Arabidopsis thaliana: one gene and its partners. The protein of the gene in region 2 interacts with the protein of the main gene of each other region in a pairwise test. Each region holds a gene or a part of one and is shown on either strand. Other genes may lie near its edges.

Region 1 (5,182 bases), about 27 Mb from region 2:
ATGGAAGACTAGTAGCTAAGTTTTTGTTAGAACGATTAATTATCATTTAAGAGAAGAAAAAAAAACAATCTAACATGTATCTCTCTCTTTGTGTGACACTTTTATGATCTGCATGCTTTGTTCATGTTCTTTTTAATCGGTTTATTAGGACTGAGTTAGCTTAGGAAATCTAGAAAGAAACATCGCATTACCCTTTGACTCACAATAGAGAAACATATTAAAAACGTATTTACTGCAATCTAAACATCAAGCGGTTCCATGGTCTAGCGGTTAGGACACTAGACTCTGAATCTAGTAACCCGAGTTCAAGTCTCGGTGGAACCTATTTTTATTTTTGTTACATTTTCCACCTGTTTCTCTTCTTAAAACTTTTGTTTTCCCCAGGCGATAACGGTTTATGTTAGTTTGAACACTAAAAATGGTGTGCACGAACATCATAGTGTTTCCTCTTGTTCACAAGCAATGAATCAGCTGTGTTTTGTTGTTCTTGAGCAATTCCGTGACCAATCCATAACACTTATCTGACTTGTCGATTAAACACTTCACCAAATCCAACACATAGGACATATCAGAATGAATAAAGACTGATTCATGAGCTAGTCTACGACTTTAACAGATACAACATTATCGTTAATTACTTAATTCCCAGCTTTGTCCACTGTAAAACGAGTAAATGATAATGTCTACTTTTGTCAATAAAACTTCTAAAATCCTAGTTTGGAGGATTCTTACAGGTATATAACCAAAAAAAGGTAAAAACAAAAGATACCTAGAAGAAAAAAAGAACCATTCAAAACCGGTTCTTGATTACAAACTTACTTCCACCTTCTTCTGTCTCTCAAAAGGCTATCTACCTGATGATGTTCTTGACTGAACTGAATTTGTTTGCTCTCTAGACAAGGCCGATATCAGCTTCTCTTTCGTTAATTCTTCAGATTTGACTACAAACGTATGCAACACTGTGTCCTGAGAAACTTCCAGGTTCGAGTTTATCACTTCTACTTTACTCTCTTCAAACGCATGGAAGATTCTGGAAGCCGGATGAGACTCCAACGGACAGTTTATCCTCACTGTGACATCTTCACCTGAGGTTTGAACATTTATATCTGAATCCAAGCTGATAGGTGGATTTGAGCTATACCCTAACCTCTCTCTCTCTGCTTCCATGACCTTTAGCTTCGCGTGAAGCTCGTTTATATAAGAAACCGCGTCTCCCAACAAGGACGCTTTGTCCATCTTGGATATGTTGGGAACAACGGATCTCAGAGCGTAAAACCTCTGGTTAAGCTTCTCACGCCTCTGCCTCTCTGCTTCTACATGGTTCAAAGCTTCCGCTCTTCCGTTGGCAGGTCTCCTTCCGCGTTTTCTTGGTCTGTTGTTACCAGATTCATCAGCACCCACTGCATCTGCCCATTCCCCTCCTCCTTCTCCATCTGAATTATTCTCTGAAGCCCTTGAACTCGCAGCAGAGAAATCTATCTGCATTTGAGCAGGAGGAAGCAGCCTCTGCGATGATTGCTGCAAAGGTAAAAACTTGAACTCATCCGTGCTTGGAACTTCCTTCACGTTGATTGGCCTCGTGTAGTTCTCAGGTTGAACCCAAGTAGGACTCAGAAGAGTGTTGTTGTTGGTGCCTGGGTTCGAAAACATAAACCTGTTCCCATTATTCGGATAAGCATCTAATCTCTTGGGAGCTCTATCATCCATTTTTCTAACCGTGAGTTTCTCTCTAAACTGTCTATGCTGTTGCTGTTGCGGTGGTTGTTGTTGTTGTTGTTGGTGATGCTGATGATGTTGAAGAAACCCTGAATTGTGCAAATCCTTGCCGAATATCTTCGTTCTGTTATCATCAATCTTTTCAGCTACAGTAACAGGTAAAGCAACAGCTCTAACCGGAGGCAAACTACTGGTAAACAATGATCTTATAGACAAGATTGAGTCTTCACTTTCAGGCAAACATGAAGTTGAGCCTAACTCAACAACACCAAGATCAGTAGGAACCAAAACAACAGTCTGAATGCCAGCAGATTTAGCAAGAAACGATCTAACGCAATAATCAGAACCCGAATTGACGACATCGGATAACCAAACAGGTTTAGCAGAGGCAAAACACTTGCCTGGACCACCTTCACCTCGAGGGAATGAGAAATACATAGAAGAAAGAAGAAACATCTCAGTGTCAGTAACTCTATCTAGTCCTAAAGCACAGTTCTCTTCTTCTGAGCCACCAAACAAATCATGAAGCTTTTGCAATACTCTCTTTCTCATAGTCTGATGCGTTTCTTCTTCTCTTCCCATACTTAGAATCCTAACGATCTCTGATTTCTCTCCTTCTTTAGGCTCTCTGCAATATCCATCGCCCCAACAGAGAACCAAATCTCCGGCCTTTGACCTGGAAATCTGCCAGAAAATGGCGTAGTTCCAAGAGAAATTAGAAGCGTTGGGTCTCTCGACGAGATCCGAGAGCTTGTTCTGCAGATTCTCGTCGCTTCCTAGAGTCATCAAGAGATTAGCATTGGAAACAGAGTTGGAAAGCAAGTAATCGAGAGCTCGTTTGCCCAGTAATGACGCAACAATCGCTTTATCGTCCTCGTTCCACACTAGGCGACCAATATTCATCTCTGCTTTCTTTTCTTTTGTTGTTTGGATCCCAACAAAAAGGAAAGACTTTTAAGAAACCCAGATCTTCAGAAATCGATTCTTAAGTCAAATGATAGGGTTTAGAAGTGTGACCCAGATGCAAATATACGGCGGAGTATAACAGTTTTGCATGGAACACCCAGAGATCTCAGATCTTGCCCCTATTTTCTTTAACAACAATTAAATGACAAAAATCAAACTCCACCAACAGAAAATGAGGAATTGAGAAGAATATATTTTTACCAGTAAAGAAGATTTGAATCAAGTCTCTTCCACCGAGATTTTCTCCTCAAAATCAGATTTTTGAGAATCCGACCCAAAAAAAAACACAAATTTTAAATCTCCCAAACCCCACCAAAATGGACAAACAAATTACCTAAATTCCCCGAAAAAGAACCCTAAGAATCCAGAAAATAAAAAAAGATGTATCAGTTTCGCTGTATCGGCTCCCTGTTTTGTCGCCGTGGCCAATTGAATGAATTCAAGGAAGAGAGAGAGTCCGACGCATGTTCTTCGTGCTCTTTTTTATTAAAAGACCAAACCCCAACAAACAAAACAAAAAACAAAACAAAAAGACTTTCATCTGAACCATGGTTAGCTACTTAACTACACAATTGAGTTTAGAAACTTAAACCGGGTCTGGTTCGATTTAGTCTTTGTCTCGAGTCTTTGATACACGACGATTGAAAACCCCTTAGATTATGTCATGGTTTTTGTCAATAATTGATTGACATAATTTTCAATTATGGGTTTTGATTAATTAAAAATTTGCAACAGATCTATCTCAACTGGTGTAGATCTAAACAAATACTATCTGACAACTCGAGATTAGATTCTCATGTTCATGGAAATAACTAAAGGGGAAACCAAACCCAAATTTAGAAGTTTGCTTTCAATTTTTAAAATTTTTGTTTACATAATTGCAAAGTATGCCAACTAAGACCGGTGGTCAAGCACCGGGAATTTTGACCAAATCAATTCACATTCAAGTTAGGCTTAAATATTCGGTTTTTGTTGTGTTTTGTTTTGTTGCAAAGACTAAAGAGTTGTTCCTTAAGTTTCAAATGCTTTCAGAATTATACAAAATAAAAGGCTTATTTTAGTTTAGATCCTTGATTATTATTTTTGGTAATATTATTGATGGTGGTTCTACAACGGGAGTAAATAATTTTTTTAAAAACAAAACAAAAAAACAAATTACTAAATAACTTGATAAATGTTGACAAAACAATTCAACTCCTTTAGAAGAAAGGAAACGCCAAGTCGATAGAGAGGAGGGCGTGAAAAGCACGTGAAGTTCACGTGGATTTAGGAGAGATGACCAGAATGAGAAGAACGTGAGATGCATTTAATTTTCTTTGGATCTCTTTTTCTTTTTAATTTCATTTTCAAATGCGCCTGCACAGCTCTGCACTTTCTCTTCTGTAACGTTTTTTTTTTCTCTTTCTCTTTTTGTTTATTCTCTCGCAACCACAATTGAATTGTAATATATTTATAGCTTTCACTCTTTAAGTCATAAAATTATCATCAAAATATAAACTACGGCTCTGCGAAAATGAATATACAATGACTATATTATTTTGGAAAAATCTTTAACAAACGATAAAGTTAAAACAAAAAATTAGTATATATAGTAATTATGGAAAATGAAGTCACGAGTGGGTATAATATATGTATGGCGGTGAGAAACACACAGCAAAAAGTGGGGACCGCGTGATTCACGTGTTTAAACTATCCTTTATTCGAGACGTTTGGGTCCCATTCCCATCTAAGTCAAACAACGACGTCGACTTACAATATCTCCAAGTCGTCAAGAATATAATATGGGCCGATATTACAATACTGGTTTTCTATGGAATTCTTGTAATGTTGGGCCACATATGTGCTAGGTCAAACGTGATATCAGCCTTTTTCCCAAACCTTAATAATGCCCCCCATCTATCCCTTATCTAGCAATCAGAATTAGAATGGGCTGTTCAACGGACTCAGTCTTGAATTCTTAAATCTCAATCTTATCATATATTTCATTGGTTTTGTTTTACCACAACAAATCGGCCTATTAGTCCAGTTAACTCTATTGTAAGAGTTGATTTAATCCCGGATAAAGTAGTGCCGGTTCTTGGTGAACTTATTCTGAATGCCACTAAACCTATCGCTTTGTTTAAATTTGTACTAACAATATATCAAGTATTCATTTATCTTCAATAATGATCCAAATTGGTTTGATTTTCACACGTGACTGTAAACTCTAGCTTCAGAAACATACTTGCAAGTTGAAGTTGTAACAATAGTTTTTCCTTAATTTTGTTACCTTATAAAAAAAAGAAAATCCCATTTTGGCGTTTATAGTTGATATATTCATGTTACAATGAATTCCGTGTTTAACGTCAACAAAATCGTCACCTTTTTGGTAACAACCAAAAAAAACACAAATCATAAGATGACTACTTTAATCTACCAACAACTCACGAAAAGGAAAAAAGAACCGACCAAAACTTAAAGCTCATCGTATGAACAAAAAAACAAATCTCGAAGCTCAATA
Region 2 (5,054 bases):
GCTCCAAAATCTTTTCCCTTTTCATTCCCAATGTTCGATTTTGGCTCTCCTTCTTCATCTTCATCCTTGTGTTGCTGATCCTTCTTAGGCTTTTTCCGTTTCTGGGTTTTGGATTTAGCTGGTTTTCGGAAATCAGTGTCGTTGAAACCCGAAGAAGGAAGAGCAGAAGCTAAGCCAATAGAAGAAGCGAATGATGCGATATCAGATGTGAGAAGACTCAAGTCCTGCGATGATTTACTCAAAGGCTTTATCTTTGACATTTTTTCTCAAAGCATATGAAGAGGGTTAAGAGAGTTTTGTGAGAGATGACTGTTTTTAAAAGAACTGAGACAGTTAGGTTTAAGCAATCTCTGTGCTTTGAGATCGAACAATGAAAAAGAAAGATAAACTTCAATGTTTGGGGTTCAACAGAAATTTTTAGGGTTTTAGAAAACGGCAAGAGAGAAGCAGACAGAGGAAATGGTAGAAGGCTAATTTCGTAATTACGGGATAAGACAAGGGCAAAACAGACTTAACGACCTAAAATCAATGAGACGATGTTTTTTCATTAAGGTTGGGTTCCTGAGACGGTCCAGCCCAATCGCTAGAACATTCAATGCAAATCCATAACTGGTGAGATTTCGATCATGTGGTAAAATATTATACTAATATCTTTGATAGAAACATTATATGTATATCTTTGAAACCTATTATAGGTTAATATACTTTTGCCACTTAGAAAAATTACTAACAACGCAAATCCATCACTGGTGAGATTATATCAGGTGATTAAAAAATTTCGATAAAGGGTAATCCAGATGACAATTTTAATTAAAGAATCTAAAAAACAAGTATCAAAATATGTATGTTTTGAAATATAAATACTAGCTACGTAATACAGTACTATAAATAACTTAAATTGGTCAAAAGTAATGGAAGAAAATATAAAAGGGTATTTGGGTTCAAATCCTAAATAAGTGAAAACTAGAAACGTGAACTCGATCGTGCATTTTATACGCCCTAAAGCTTGAGTTCAAGGTTTTTGGAAGATTGTCCTTCTTTCTTGTCCACCTCCATCGGCATATGGTTATGGGCCTTTGGTTTTGGAGGAGTTGCAATGTGTTGCGACGATTGGCCTGACTTTATCGATGGAGCAACCATCTCTGGCTTGGGAGGAAGATGACTACCGTGTTGGTTCACTTGATATGGAGCTCTAGCCACAGCCCTGAAATCAAAACAATTAATCAACATTTAAGACAAAGTAGATATTGAAGTTTTGATTTACAAAGAACTCTTAGTTAGTGTTTTTTAACTAGAAATTTCTCGACATTTTACTAATAATTTTCCTAGATCAAGGACACATAGATGATGGACTCATATCTCTTATATACTACTCTAGGTCCCATCTCGAATTTCATTGTAACTTGTAAGATTTTTTACATGTTCTTTATAAATGATGACACTTGAGTCACATCTCGAAATCTTACTCTAGGAATCATAATTCATAAACATACTAGGACCACCCTATGTTCAATTTCATGAATGTTCAACTTAAACTTGATTGGTAATACGCTTCTAATCCGATGTGGGATTCCTAGAATAACTCGAATAAGTCTTAATATGGTAATTATTAGCTATTTTTACATATAACTTTTTTAAGAAACTTTGATCCTAATCTATGCATACATTTTGACGAGCGGCCTAGAAAAAGCATAACCAAGCACAAAACAGTTTCGGAGTTTAGTTTACCTGTCTTTTCGTTTAGCAAAGAATCGATGAAGAGAAGCTCTTCTTGCAATGCGTTCCACAACCTGATGTTGCTGCCCAGTTTCTTGATCTTCATTGTTCCCGGAACTCGTTGGCTCGTTAAGATCGGGAATCACCACGTTGCTTTTGTCAAGATTCATGTGACTCTGACTGTTCTTAGAATCAACAGCAACATGATTCGCTTCTTTAGCTACTTCCATTATCTCCTTAGCTTTGTCTTCAGGAAACTCGTTGAAAACCATAACTTTTCCTCCAAAGAATATGGTCAACTGTGAATTTCCAGACTCCGGTGCTACTTTTGCCGGTTCACTAAAATCAAATCAAACCCATTTTTACAATTAGTCAAACTCCATAGTCCATACATCTATAACCGGTAGTTCTTTCTCTAATTCAATTGCTACAAAATGTGAAAACAAACACTTTAGGAGTTCGAATACATATGAAGTTTGTGTGTACAGTACCTGAGATCAATATATATGGCTTTGTCTTCGGTAGAAGTAGAGGCCTCACCAATAGAAAACTTCTGAATCAACTTGAACGGTCTAGTTTCTGAGGTCTCTACCTTCTTAATCACATTTTGTTGTCCTAAAACAAATTAGAACAGAAATTGCAAACCGATTAAAATTTATCAAAATCAAATTACATGTTTATTACGTTTTTTAAAAAACTTCACAGAATCTCTAACTTTAATATACTTAAGCTGTCCAAAATAATACCATGCTTAAGTTTAAAGAAAAGAAAAGAAAAAAATGATTTAAAATTTTGCATTTCAACAAAAAAAATATATAGTTAAACTTTATGCTAATAATCAACGAAGCAGGATACTAAAAGTATATGATATAAACTTTGGTCTTTATAGGCGGCGGCCGTCGGAATAGATAGGGAAAAATAAATAAATACCTTTGAGATCGAATTTTCCGGCGAGTTCAAGATCGGATTTTCGAGCCAACCCCATATTAATATTCCCAAAACTTCCCTTCTCCTTCAAGTACCGGCTGAGCAGACTACATCTCTGAGAAAAATTGGACTTCTCCGGCGCTTGTCCCGTTGACATACTAGTGTGATGAAGATTACAACAACCCAAGATTTTCTTGTGTGACTTCTTTACACGTACAAAAAATCGAGGATTCCAAAGAGTATGTAGATGTTTTGAGCTTTTTGCTCATGTGTTGTTGTTATAAATAACCAATTCTAGCCAATAAGTTTCTGTGGCTTTTAACCTCTCCCGAATAAATAAAGAAAACGAAATAACGTGTTCTTTTTTTTTATTTAGTCTGAAGTGACAGTGATGTGTGTCCAATATAGAATGTTTTTGTCACGAGTTTTGTAACTTTTTTTTTTACACCTAACTGATCGATAGACATTTTTTTTTTTTTTTTGAACACAAAACTGATCAATAGACTAAACACACATTTTTCTTATGATGGTTCAAGAAGAAGAAATTCTTTTTATGGTCAAACATATTATAGGCTATTAATTTCCTATATCCTCAAATGTTTTGTCACGAATAGAAATAGGGAAATAAATTATATGCGGAAAAAATGATTTATTCCTATGGTTGATTACAAAAATCAAACTACAATGTTCGTTACAAGTTCCGGCACGTTTTCATTGCACAAGCCGTGAAGAAACTGTTGTAAGTTGACGGCGACATTACATAAAGGCGTTAACCCATTTAATTCATTCGGGTCCCAAGAGTTTCTGTTAAATACTAATTTACCCTTCTGAGGTAATTCGTTTAGTGGTGGTTAGGATATTCGTTATTAAAGGGCGTAAATGAGGGCATTTGCAAACGCTATAGTCTAACGGAGTTCTGACGGAGTTAAGTCTCGCGTCGGCTGCGATGGCTAATACGAATTTAATATGTGGGATCCATTAGCAACAGTACGACTTGTGAGTGGATATTTATCGATGAATGGTGTCAATTACTTATCCCCGACAAAGTTTAAGGACACGTGAAGTATTGTTATGTGCGTTTAGGATGTCAACACGTGTCGGAATCTTGGCGGTACCAACCTTATTTCATGCATGATTTGCGTTTTTTTTCCCTCTTTGCTAAAGGATATTATAGCGTTCATACTTCATAGGCCTAATTTTCTTTTCTGTTTTTAATTACAAAAACTGAGTGTAATTAATATTAGAATTTGTGGTTTTGTATGTTGGTAAAAGGTTAACGATTTCTGTTTAGTCCTAATATGAATTTTGTTACTTGCTCAGTTAAATATTATTTCTATAACAATAATAATAATAAAATCTTTTAATCGTTTTGTTCAATGAAGTCGAGCGTTGAATTTTATTTGAATAAGAGGCAATGCCAAAGAGTACCAAAAAAGAATTTAAAACAAAATGTCGTAGACGATCGCGCCAAGGGAAAAAATCATTTTTATTGAATTATTTATCGCAACTTGCAAAATGAGAACATAATACTTTGAACTTTGAAGACTCTTCAATATCATATGATTTCAAGAGTTGAACAACAACTTGAGTCTAATATATACACATGTATGTGTGTATTTAATTACACAATATAGATCCATTGTCATTTTCTAATACATACAAAAGACCAAATAATATTCGCTATTTCACATGAAGATTATCTACATTGTTGGAAGCGCAAGTTGGGTTTCGATCACATATTTGATCATGTCCAAAATAAGGGAATGTCATATTCTAACAGATTTGATATGCAAAAATCAAGATTGTGAGAAGATTCTACTAAGACTACCAAACCAACGTTAACGGCAAAAAAGAAAAGGCAACGGCGAAACCTTCCGGTCACCACTCGAAGTTGGACTCTCCTTTAAGCAATAGAGTATATCAACATTTATCAAATAAATAGTTGTTGTTTTGAGACCTAAGTTCATATATGGACATAATCAAGATGGTGTCAACAGTTTTGGGTTAGGTGTGCTTCAGACTTAATCTTTGAGCTGGGTAAGATTTCCTTTCTATCTAGTGTTACGAGCTAGCGTGTCTCTGTAACAGGTTGTCTTCGGGTAAGTTTGGTCTTGCAGCTTGAGCTTGTGGTGGGAATTCTCTGTACAGTCGTTATCTTCATAAATAAAATGGTACTTATCAGAAAATAAAATAAAATTAGAAGACAATATTGAAAGATTATACAACTCATTTGCATTGACGTATGACAATACTAAACATAAAATTTGTTTAAAATTTAGGGGTAACGACTACGAATGTAGGTCCGTTTTACAACAATGACTAAAACAAATTGGTTCTTTGACACCGACAGATACTTTGGATGTGAACACCAAAATGTTGCAGCTTCTTCACATGCTCCTCTTGTACTATGA
Region 3 (7,823 bases), about 22 Mb from region 2:
TTTTTCTTGATATCATTCTAACTTAATCATTAGACTACAATCAATTTGTTTAGAATATATTTGTGTTGCGCTCATAACGATTCTTTTCAATATATATTGTTTGATTAAAGCTTTTAACAAAGTACAGTTTGCTTTCTAAATTATTTTTAACACGTATCCAGTTTTTTAAAAATATATAAAAATATATTCTTCACACCTATCATTTTTTATAAATAAAATATTTTTAACATTTAAAGATATATAAGATATTTCTAATAGTATAATTTATTTTTAATACTTATCATGTTTCTTAAATGGTTTGAACGCTTCGTTTCATTAGTTTATCCAACCTACCTCAGTTATGATATTACACTTTAGTAAAATAAAAAAAAACTGGTTATAAACTTAAAATATTATGCTTTGCTCGTATTAAAGAATTTCAGTACTTGTATATCGTTTTTTTAATTATTATTATGATTTATGACCTCGCGATTCGTGATGGTTAGTAGTAGACTAGTCGTAGTGGACAACTACTGTAAGAAAAAAAACTAAAAATAGATAGACACACACGCTAAATTAAATAAATCGTAAATCACGATTACATATTTATGTTTGTACTTGAAAATGTTATCGCTTTACGTGTGGTGATGGTGAGACAACAGTGTTTGTGTTTGGACGGGATAGATGTCAAATTACTCAAACGTGCGACTCTAAATTACACAAACTCTCATTTATTGCCCATCCTCCATCGATATCTTCACCCCTCTAATATATTTTAAAAATGTTATTTATAACTTCAACAATACACATTCGGTTTCATTTACAATTAATCCTTGCGTTATTATTACTTCTAAGCTATAGTATCTTGTACTTCCTTCCCCTGCTATTATTTAAACGGAAAGAATCCAGCTAATTCCGATCCACCTGCTCCTAGTAGCAATCTATCTATAAACAAACAAAACTAAAGTATAAATTATCACGAACATCTTAACAATAATAGTCAATGCAAGTGGTTCTTGTGTATACAAAGAATTAATAGGAACTACTATCCACATCCTTACGTTTACATTTTTCACAACCAATCATGCACTAAATTAACCTCTAATGAAAAAGTTAAAAATAAAGAATAATATTATCAAAGAATAATGATAATGTTCAGCAACATGTTGGACCAAGAAATGTTCAAACAATACTATAATATTGAAATATTTAGTAGTATTAGTTTTGTTCTTGTTTTTTTTATATGAGGAACATCAGCCATATCGTATAAATCGTGATAAACCGAGTTTATAAATCATATTTCGTATCTCGCCGAGAAGAAAGACGACGTAGCATCTTTACGAGTTGAACATTTCTCCATCACGTGATGTTCGATGAGTTAACGCATCTCAAGAGCAATTGGCTCTTCAATGTCATATCCGTAAATATTAGTCAAACTTGAGGGCAATGACTCAATATAAAAAGCTTTGTCGTGCCACGAGGGATCTGGAGACAAGTCTGACACATTGAATGAAACTCTAGCCGTTAGATCTCCGTCCTCCGCGCCATCTGACAAAATCGACGGTTTTCCAGATAGGTGTAAAACTCATCGCGAAGGAGTGGATCACACCTCTGTGGAGTACAGCTGGCAACTAATATTCCGAGCCGATAACGTCGAGAAATGTAGCCGATCAAGTCGTAGTTATAAGCAGTTCTACTTATCATTCCTGCTTATCGCAGTTAGCTTTTCTTAGAGTGATAGCTAACTTATTTTATCAGCATCCAATTATCTGTCACCTTCTCTTATTAAAATCTCCATTTCTGCAAGTTTTAATGTCCGTATATATATCTCGAAGAGAGAGAAAATCCCTTTTTCTCTAGATAGAGAGAGAGAGAGAGAGAGAGAAGAAGAAGCTTTTTAATTTAGTTTTGCTTTCTTTCAAGTTTCCTTTTTTCGATAGAGAGAAAAAGAGTCCAAAAATCAATCCATCACCTCTTTCGTCTCTGTGGTCTTCTTCTTCTTCTTCATCGATCTCTCTCTCTTTATGGTGAGTAAGCTTCACGCTTCTTTCTTCTACCTTTGTTGCCTCTGTTAATGGAATCTAGCTGTTTCGAGTTTTATTGTATATATTTTTTTATCCTTTTGCCCAAACTTTTTTCTGGGTTTTGCTTTATTTTTTCATCCCCCTTTCTGATAATTAATTTGCTTTTTTCATGTAGTAAAAAAAGATTCTTTTTTTAAGCTATTAAATTCACATCTTCCAATTCCAGGAAGACCTAAATTTCCTCTTTTTTTTGCCGTTATCTGCAGAGATGCGAAGTTTCTGGATAATTATTCAGATATAGGTTCCAAGTTTTTAGCTTTCATTTCTAACTTCTCTTTTCGTGTTTTTTAATTTCCATAATCTGGAAACTCAGATTTGAGCTCATTTCGGCCATTGTTTATATTGCAGATCTGGTGATAGTTTGGTTAGTTGTTGTGCATCTGAGTTAGAAAAAAGTCTTTTAAGGAAGTGAGAGAAAACATGTCTTCTCTTAGTAGAGAGCTCGTTTTCTTGATCTTACAGTTTCTCGATGAAGAGAAGTTTAAAGAGACTGTTCACAAGTATGTCTCTTTTGCTCTGTAGATTTCCTTGGATCTAATTTACCAACTGACCTGTTTAGCTCTTGTGTTGGTTAATGCATTATTGCTTTGTCATGTTCAGGCTTGAACAAGAATCTGGGTTTTTCTTCAATATGAAGTATTTTGAGGATGAGGTTCACAATGGAAATTGGGATGAGGTTGAGAAGTATCTCTCTGGTTTCACTAAAGTAGATGATAATAGATACTCTATGAAGATATTCTTCGAGATAAGAAAGCAGAAGTATCTCGAGGCTTTGGATAAGTAAGTCATGGTTGGGGATTTGTTTTTTTTTTTTCCTTTCAGTGAGATAGCAAAAGAAAAAGAGTCTGATTTGTGATTGACCTTGGTGACTTTTTTGTTGGTAGGCATGATCGTCCCAAGGCTGTGGATATACTAGTGAAGGATTTGAAAGTGTTTTCAACTTTTAATGAGGAGCTTTTCAAGGAAATAACACAGCTCTTGACATTGGAGAACTTCCGGTAATGTTATATTGGATTAATGTAGTGTCCAAAGCCTTTGTTTTCTTAGCCGTAGTTCAAAAGAAAGATTGATGCAGAGTATTAAGTGTTTCGAGTTTGATCAACTTTTAGGGAGAATGAACAGTTATCCAAGTATGGGGACACCAAGTCTGCAAGAGCGATCATGTTGGTGGAACTCAAAAAGCTGATTGAGGCGAATCCTTTATTCCGTGATAAATTGCAGTTCCCTACTCTTAGAAATTCAAGGCTGAGGACTTTGATCAACCAGAGGTTTATTGCTTTGTCCCTTAATCTTTTTGTCTTATTCACTTCAAGTTGTTGTTGGCATATTAATTCATTCTATCTTTTGTTACTGCATAACTCGCAGCTTAAATTGGCAACACCAGCTTTGTAAAAATCCAAGGCCAAATCCAGATATCAAGACTCTTTTTGTGGATCACTCTTGTGGCCCTCCAAATGGCGCACGAGCTCCATCTCCTGTGAACAATCCACTGCTTGGAGGGATACCAAAGGCTGGAGGATTTCCTCCTTTAGGCGCACACGGGGTAATTTAGTTTCTATCATTTTTATTTATGTTTTCCTGAGGCCAAGTGTTTGATTGTCTCTATGTTTCCAGCCATTTCAACCAACGGCGTCACCTGTTCCAACACCTCTTGCTGGTTGGATGTCTAGTCCATCCTCTGTCCCACATCCAGCTGTCTCAGCAGGAGCCATTGCACTTGGTGGTCCATCAATCCCAGGTACTACTTGCTTATCAAATGTGTATGTTTCTTCAGACACACTTTGTGTGATCTATGCAATTTGCTTACAATGGAACTCCTTTCCTATCTTTGGTATAGCGGCGTTGAAGCACCCGAGAACTCCTCCAACTAATGCTTCTTTAGACTACCCGTCAGCAGATTCTGAACATGTCTCAAAAAGAACAAGACCAATGGGAATCTCTGACGAGGTGAATCTAGGCGTGAACATGTTACCGATGTCATTTTCAGGGCAGGCCCATGGTCATTCTCCGGCTTTCAAAGCACCTGACGACTTGCCCAAGACAGTTGCGAGAACTTTGAGTCAGGGCTCATCTCCCATGAGCATGGATTTCCATCCAATTAAACAGACCCTGCTTCTAGGTGTGTTTCTTGCTCTCTGTATGTGCTTCTGTGTAATAATAATAATAATAATCATCAGCAATTTTCTAAATTCGTTTGAATTGTTGTACCAGTTGGTACAAATGTAGGTGATATCGGGCTGTGGGAAGTTGGTTCTCGCGAAAGATTAGTACAGAAGACGTTCAAAGTCTGGGATTTGAGTAAATGTTCAATGCCCTTGCAGGTGCCTATGCATAGCAACAACAAAATGTTAACTTTTATATATGTTATGAATCTACAGTGACTGAATTAGTTGTATCTTCAGGCTGCTCTGGTGAAAGAACCTGTCGTTTCTGTCAACCGTGTGATATGGAGCCCTGACGGTTCCTTGTTTGGTAAAGAACTCGCCTTTAAATTTATATCTGCACATGAATGCAACTTTATAAGTCACCAAACGTTCTGAATTGCAGGAGTTGCTTACTCGAGACATATTGTACAACTATACTCTTATCACGGAGGTGAAGACATGAGGCAACACCTTGAGGTCTCGTACCATTCACAAGCCTCTCTCTTTAACAATCGTTTTTTCCCTTGGGGATTTTCTTGTAATATTGTGATTATTTCAGATTGATGCTCATGTTGGTGGTGTGAATGATATTTCCTTCTCGACTCCAAACAAGCAACTATGTGTAATAACTTGTGGTGATGACAAAACCATCAAGGTTTGGGACGCTGCAACAGGTGTCAAAAGGCATACTTTTGAAGGCCATGAAGCTCCTGTTTATTCCGTTTGTCCTCATTACAAGGAAAACATTCAGGTAAGCTTAGCTAACCGTTGATCTCCCTCCCTTCTATTAAATGTTTCAGTTTTTTGATGTGTTGTATTTTTCCTGTCATCAAGTTCATATTTTCAACAGCTCTTGATGGGAAAATTAAGGCTTGGTTGTATGATAATATGGGTTCCCGAGTTGACTATGATGCACCTGGTCGCTGGTGTACTACAATGGCTTATAGTGCCGATGGTACTAGGCTATTCTCTTGTGGGACGAGTAAAGATGGAGAGTCTTTCATTGTTGAGTGGAATGAAAGCGAAGGAGCTGTTAAAAGAACTTATCAAGGATTCCACAAGCGTTCTCTAGGTGTTGTGCAGTTTGATACAACTAAAAACCGTTATCTAGCTGCGGGTGATGATTTCTCCATCAAGTTCTGGGATATGGACGCTGTACAGCTTTTAACTGCCATTGATGGCGATGGAGGCCTCCAGGTACATGAACAAAAAATGCCTAACTAGAAAAGTTTTCAGATATTCTTTTGGAGTTTCTTCTTAACTTGCGCTTCTAATATATTTAAACTAGGCAAGCCCGCGTATCCGGTTCAACAAGGAAGGCTCTCTCCTGGCCGTGTCTGGCAACGAGAATGTGATCAAGATTATGGCAAACTCAGATGGTCTAAGGCTATTGCACACTTTTGAGAACATATCATCTGAATCCTCCAAGGTACTTAAAATCTAAGCTAAGCTTTAAATTACTTACACCCAATTGAAAGATTTAGTCAACACTTCATTCTACATTTGCAGCCTGCAATAAACAGCATAGCAGCGGCAGCGGCAGCTGCTGCAACAAGTGCTGGTCACGCAGATCGATCAGCCAATGTAGTTTCCATCCAAGGAATGGTAAGAAATACAATTCTTTTTTGTTCTTTCACTCACTTTATTTTATCTTTCTATTATTCATCACTTGCCTTTTTAGAATGGAGATTCGCGGAATATGGTGGATGTGAAGCCAGTGATCACAGAAGAATCAAATGATAAGTCTAAGATATGGAAGCTTACTGAAGTCAGCGAGCCTTCTCAATGCAGGTCACTGAGACTCCCTGAGAATCTGAGAGTAGCCAAGGTATATAAAATATACATTTTCTGAGCCATGTATAGGGTATATATATATAGCTGTTCTTTTTTCTGACAATAAAACCAATGACTTTTGGCAGATATCAAGATTGATTTTCACGAATTCGGGAAATGCTATTTTGGCTCTGGCATCAAACGCAATTCATCTTCTATGGAAATGGCAGCGGAATGAGCGCAACGCAACTGGAAAGGTGAAATTGAGACTCTTTCTTAGTCAAATAATGATAAGTGTCACTGATCTCTACATCTCGATTTTCCGTGTAGGCGACAGCTTCTTTACCGCCTCAGCAGTGGCAACCAGCTAGTGGGATCCTCATGACTAACGATGTTGCTGAAACCAATCCCGAGGAAGCTGTACCTTGTTTTGCTTTATCCAAGAATGATTCATATGTAATGTCAGCCTCCGGAGGAAAGATATCCTTATTTAACATGATGACGTTTAAGGTAATGGGGACACATAGATGCTGATCTTTTGATGTTCTGTGTATGCAATTTGACTGACTGTTCTTGGCTAATAATTTGCAGACAATGGCGACTTTCATGCCCCCACCACCGGCTGCTACTTTTCTTGCTTTTCATCCTCAAGACAACAATATCATCGCTATTGGGATGGATGATAGCACGATTCAGATTTATAATGTCCGTGTTGATGAGGTAATGCATCAAAACTCAAGAGAAGAATGTAGAAAAGAAGATGAAGTGTTTTGTTTGTTAATATGATGGCCATCATGTTCCTTGTTTGCTCCTGCAGGTGAAGAGTAAGCTTAAAGGTCATTCAAAGAGAATAACTGGTCTTGCCTTCTCCAACGTATTAAACGTGTTGGTTTCGTCTGGAGCAGATGCACAGGTTCCCGCCTTAGACCATTTTTTTTTTTTTTTTTGAGAATCGATGAAGAAAAGATCAATAGTCTTTGAAATGTTTTTGTTTCAGCTTTGTGTTTGGAACACAGATGGATGGGAAAAGCAGAGAAGCAAGGTTTTGCCACTTCCACAGGGAAGACCAAACAGTGCACCTTCAGATACGCGTGTTCAGTTCCATCAAGATCAAGCTCACTTCCTCGTTGTGCACGAGACGCAACTTGCTATATACGAAACTACCAAGCTCGAATGCATGAAACAGGTATTTTATATTTATAGGCCGCTCTCTCTAAGATCTGCAATTTATTGCATTTGAAAGATGATTAATGATTGCAATGTTTCAGTGGGCTGTTCGAGAATCATTAGCTCCAATCACTCATGCCACATTCTCATGCGATAGCCAATTGGTCTACGCGAGTTTTATGGATGCAACAGTTTGTGTATTTAGCTCTGCAAATCTACGGCTGCGTTGCCGGGTCAACCCTTCTGCGTATCTACCAGCTAGTCTCAGGTAAACAGAGGAATCTTGAAATTTACCCAAAAAAACAGAGGAATCTTTAAATTTCGGAAAGAACGTTTCTAAACATCAATCGGTTAGTTGTTTATATATCATAAAGCTCCTCTTGTTGACTTGTGCAGCAATTCAAACGTACATCCACTAGTGATTGCTGCACATCCGCAAGAACCAAACATGTTTGCAGTTGGTCTCTCAGACGGGGGAGTGCACATATTCGAACCGCTCGAGTCTGAAGGTAAATGGGGAGTCGCTCCACCGGCTGAGAACGGGTCGGCTAGCGGTGCACCAACTGCACCTTCCGTTGGAGCCTCTGCATCTGATCAGCCTCAGAGATGATCTGATCCGAGAGCCACCTACCTCTCTGATTCCCTTTCTTCTATTTAAAAGTCTTTTCTTTCTTAT

Evidence for each region. The genes of interacting proteins can lie anywhere in the genome.
Region 1: the proteins of JAZ6 (region 2) and AT1G01260 interact in binary tests that used the Arabidopsis thaliana proteins (3 or more experiments, as listed by UniProt).
Region 3: the proteins of JAZ6 (region 2) and TPL interact in a two-hybrid assay, tested with the Arabidopsis thaliana proteins (one study listed by BioGRID).

The regions. Positions count from the first base shown.
Region 1 is NC_003070.9:107,032-112,213, reverse strand, and holds AT1G01260 (basic helix-loop-helix (bHLH) DNA-binding superfamily protein), read right to left. Parts: upstream 3,269-5,182; 5' UTR 2,884-3,268; exon of another isoform or gene 2,809-2,883; 5' UTR 2,620-2,808; coding exon 847-2,619; 3' UTR 515-846; downstream 1-514.
Region 2 is NC_003070.9:27,273,337-27,278,390, forward strand, and holds JAZ6 (jasmonate-zim-domain protein 6), read right to left. Parts: upstream 3,227-5,054; 5' UTR 2,801-3,226; coding exon 2,647-2,800; intron 2,332-2,646; coding exon 2,208-2,331; intron 2,056-2,207; coding exon 1,729-2,055; coding exon of another isoform or gene 1,725-1,728; exon of another isoform or gene 1,205-1,724; coding exon 1,000-1,204; 3' UTR 632-999; downstream 1-631. Other genes in the region: EDA25 (CCAAT-binding factor), read right to left, coding at 1-260. UniProt on the Arabidopsis thaliana protein: Repressor of jasmonate responses.
Region 3 is NC_003070.9:5,415,020-5,422,842, reverse strand, and holds the start of TPL (Transducin family protein / WD-40 repeat family protein), read left to right. Parts: upstream 1-1,809; 5' UTR 1,810-2,006; exon of another isoform or gene 2,007-2,269; 5' UTR 2,270-2,304; exon of another isoform or gene 2,305-2,411; 5' UTR 2,412-2,483; coding exon 2,484-2,563; intron 2,564-2,663; coding exon 2,664-2,843; intron 2,844-2,947; coding exon 2,948-3,061; intron 3,062-3,172; coding exon 3,173-3,331; intron 3,332-3,428; coding exon 3,429-3,606; intron 3,607-3,677; coding exon 3,678-3,801; intron 3,802-3,900; coding exon 3,901-4,182; intron 4,183-4,274; coding exon 4,275-4,384; intron 4,385-4,465; coding exon 4,466-4,535; intron 4,536-4,610; coding exon 4,611-4,684; intron 4,685-4,766; coding exon 4,767-4,958; intron 4,959-5,041; coding exon 5,042-5,404; intron 5,405-5,495; coding exon 5,496-5,636; intron 5,637-5,716; coding exon 5,717-5,812; intron 5,813-5,888; coding exon 5,889-6,035; intron 6,036-6,126; coding exon 6,127-6,237; intron 6,238-6,310; coding exon 6,311-6,490; intron 6,491-6,571; and 10 more. UniProt on the Arabidopsis thaliana protein: Transcriptional corepressor. May repress the expression of root-promoting genes in the top half of the embryo to allow proper differentiation of the shoot pole during the transition stage of embryogenesis. Regulates the expression of PLT1 and PLT2.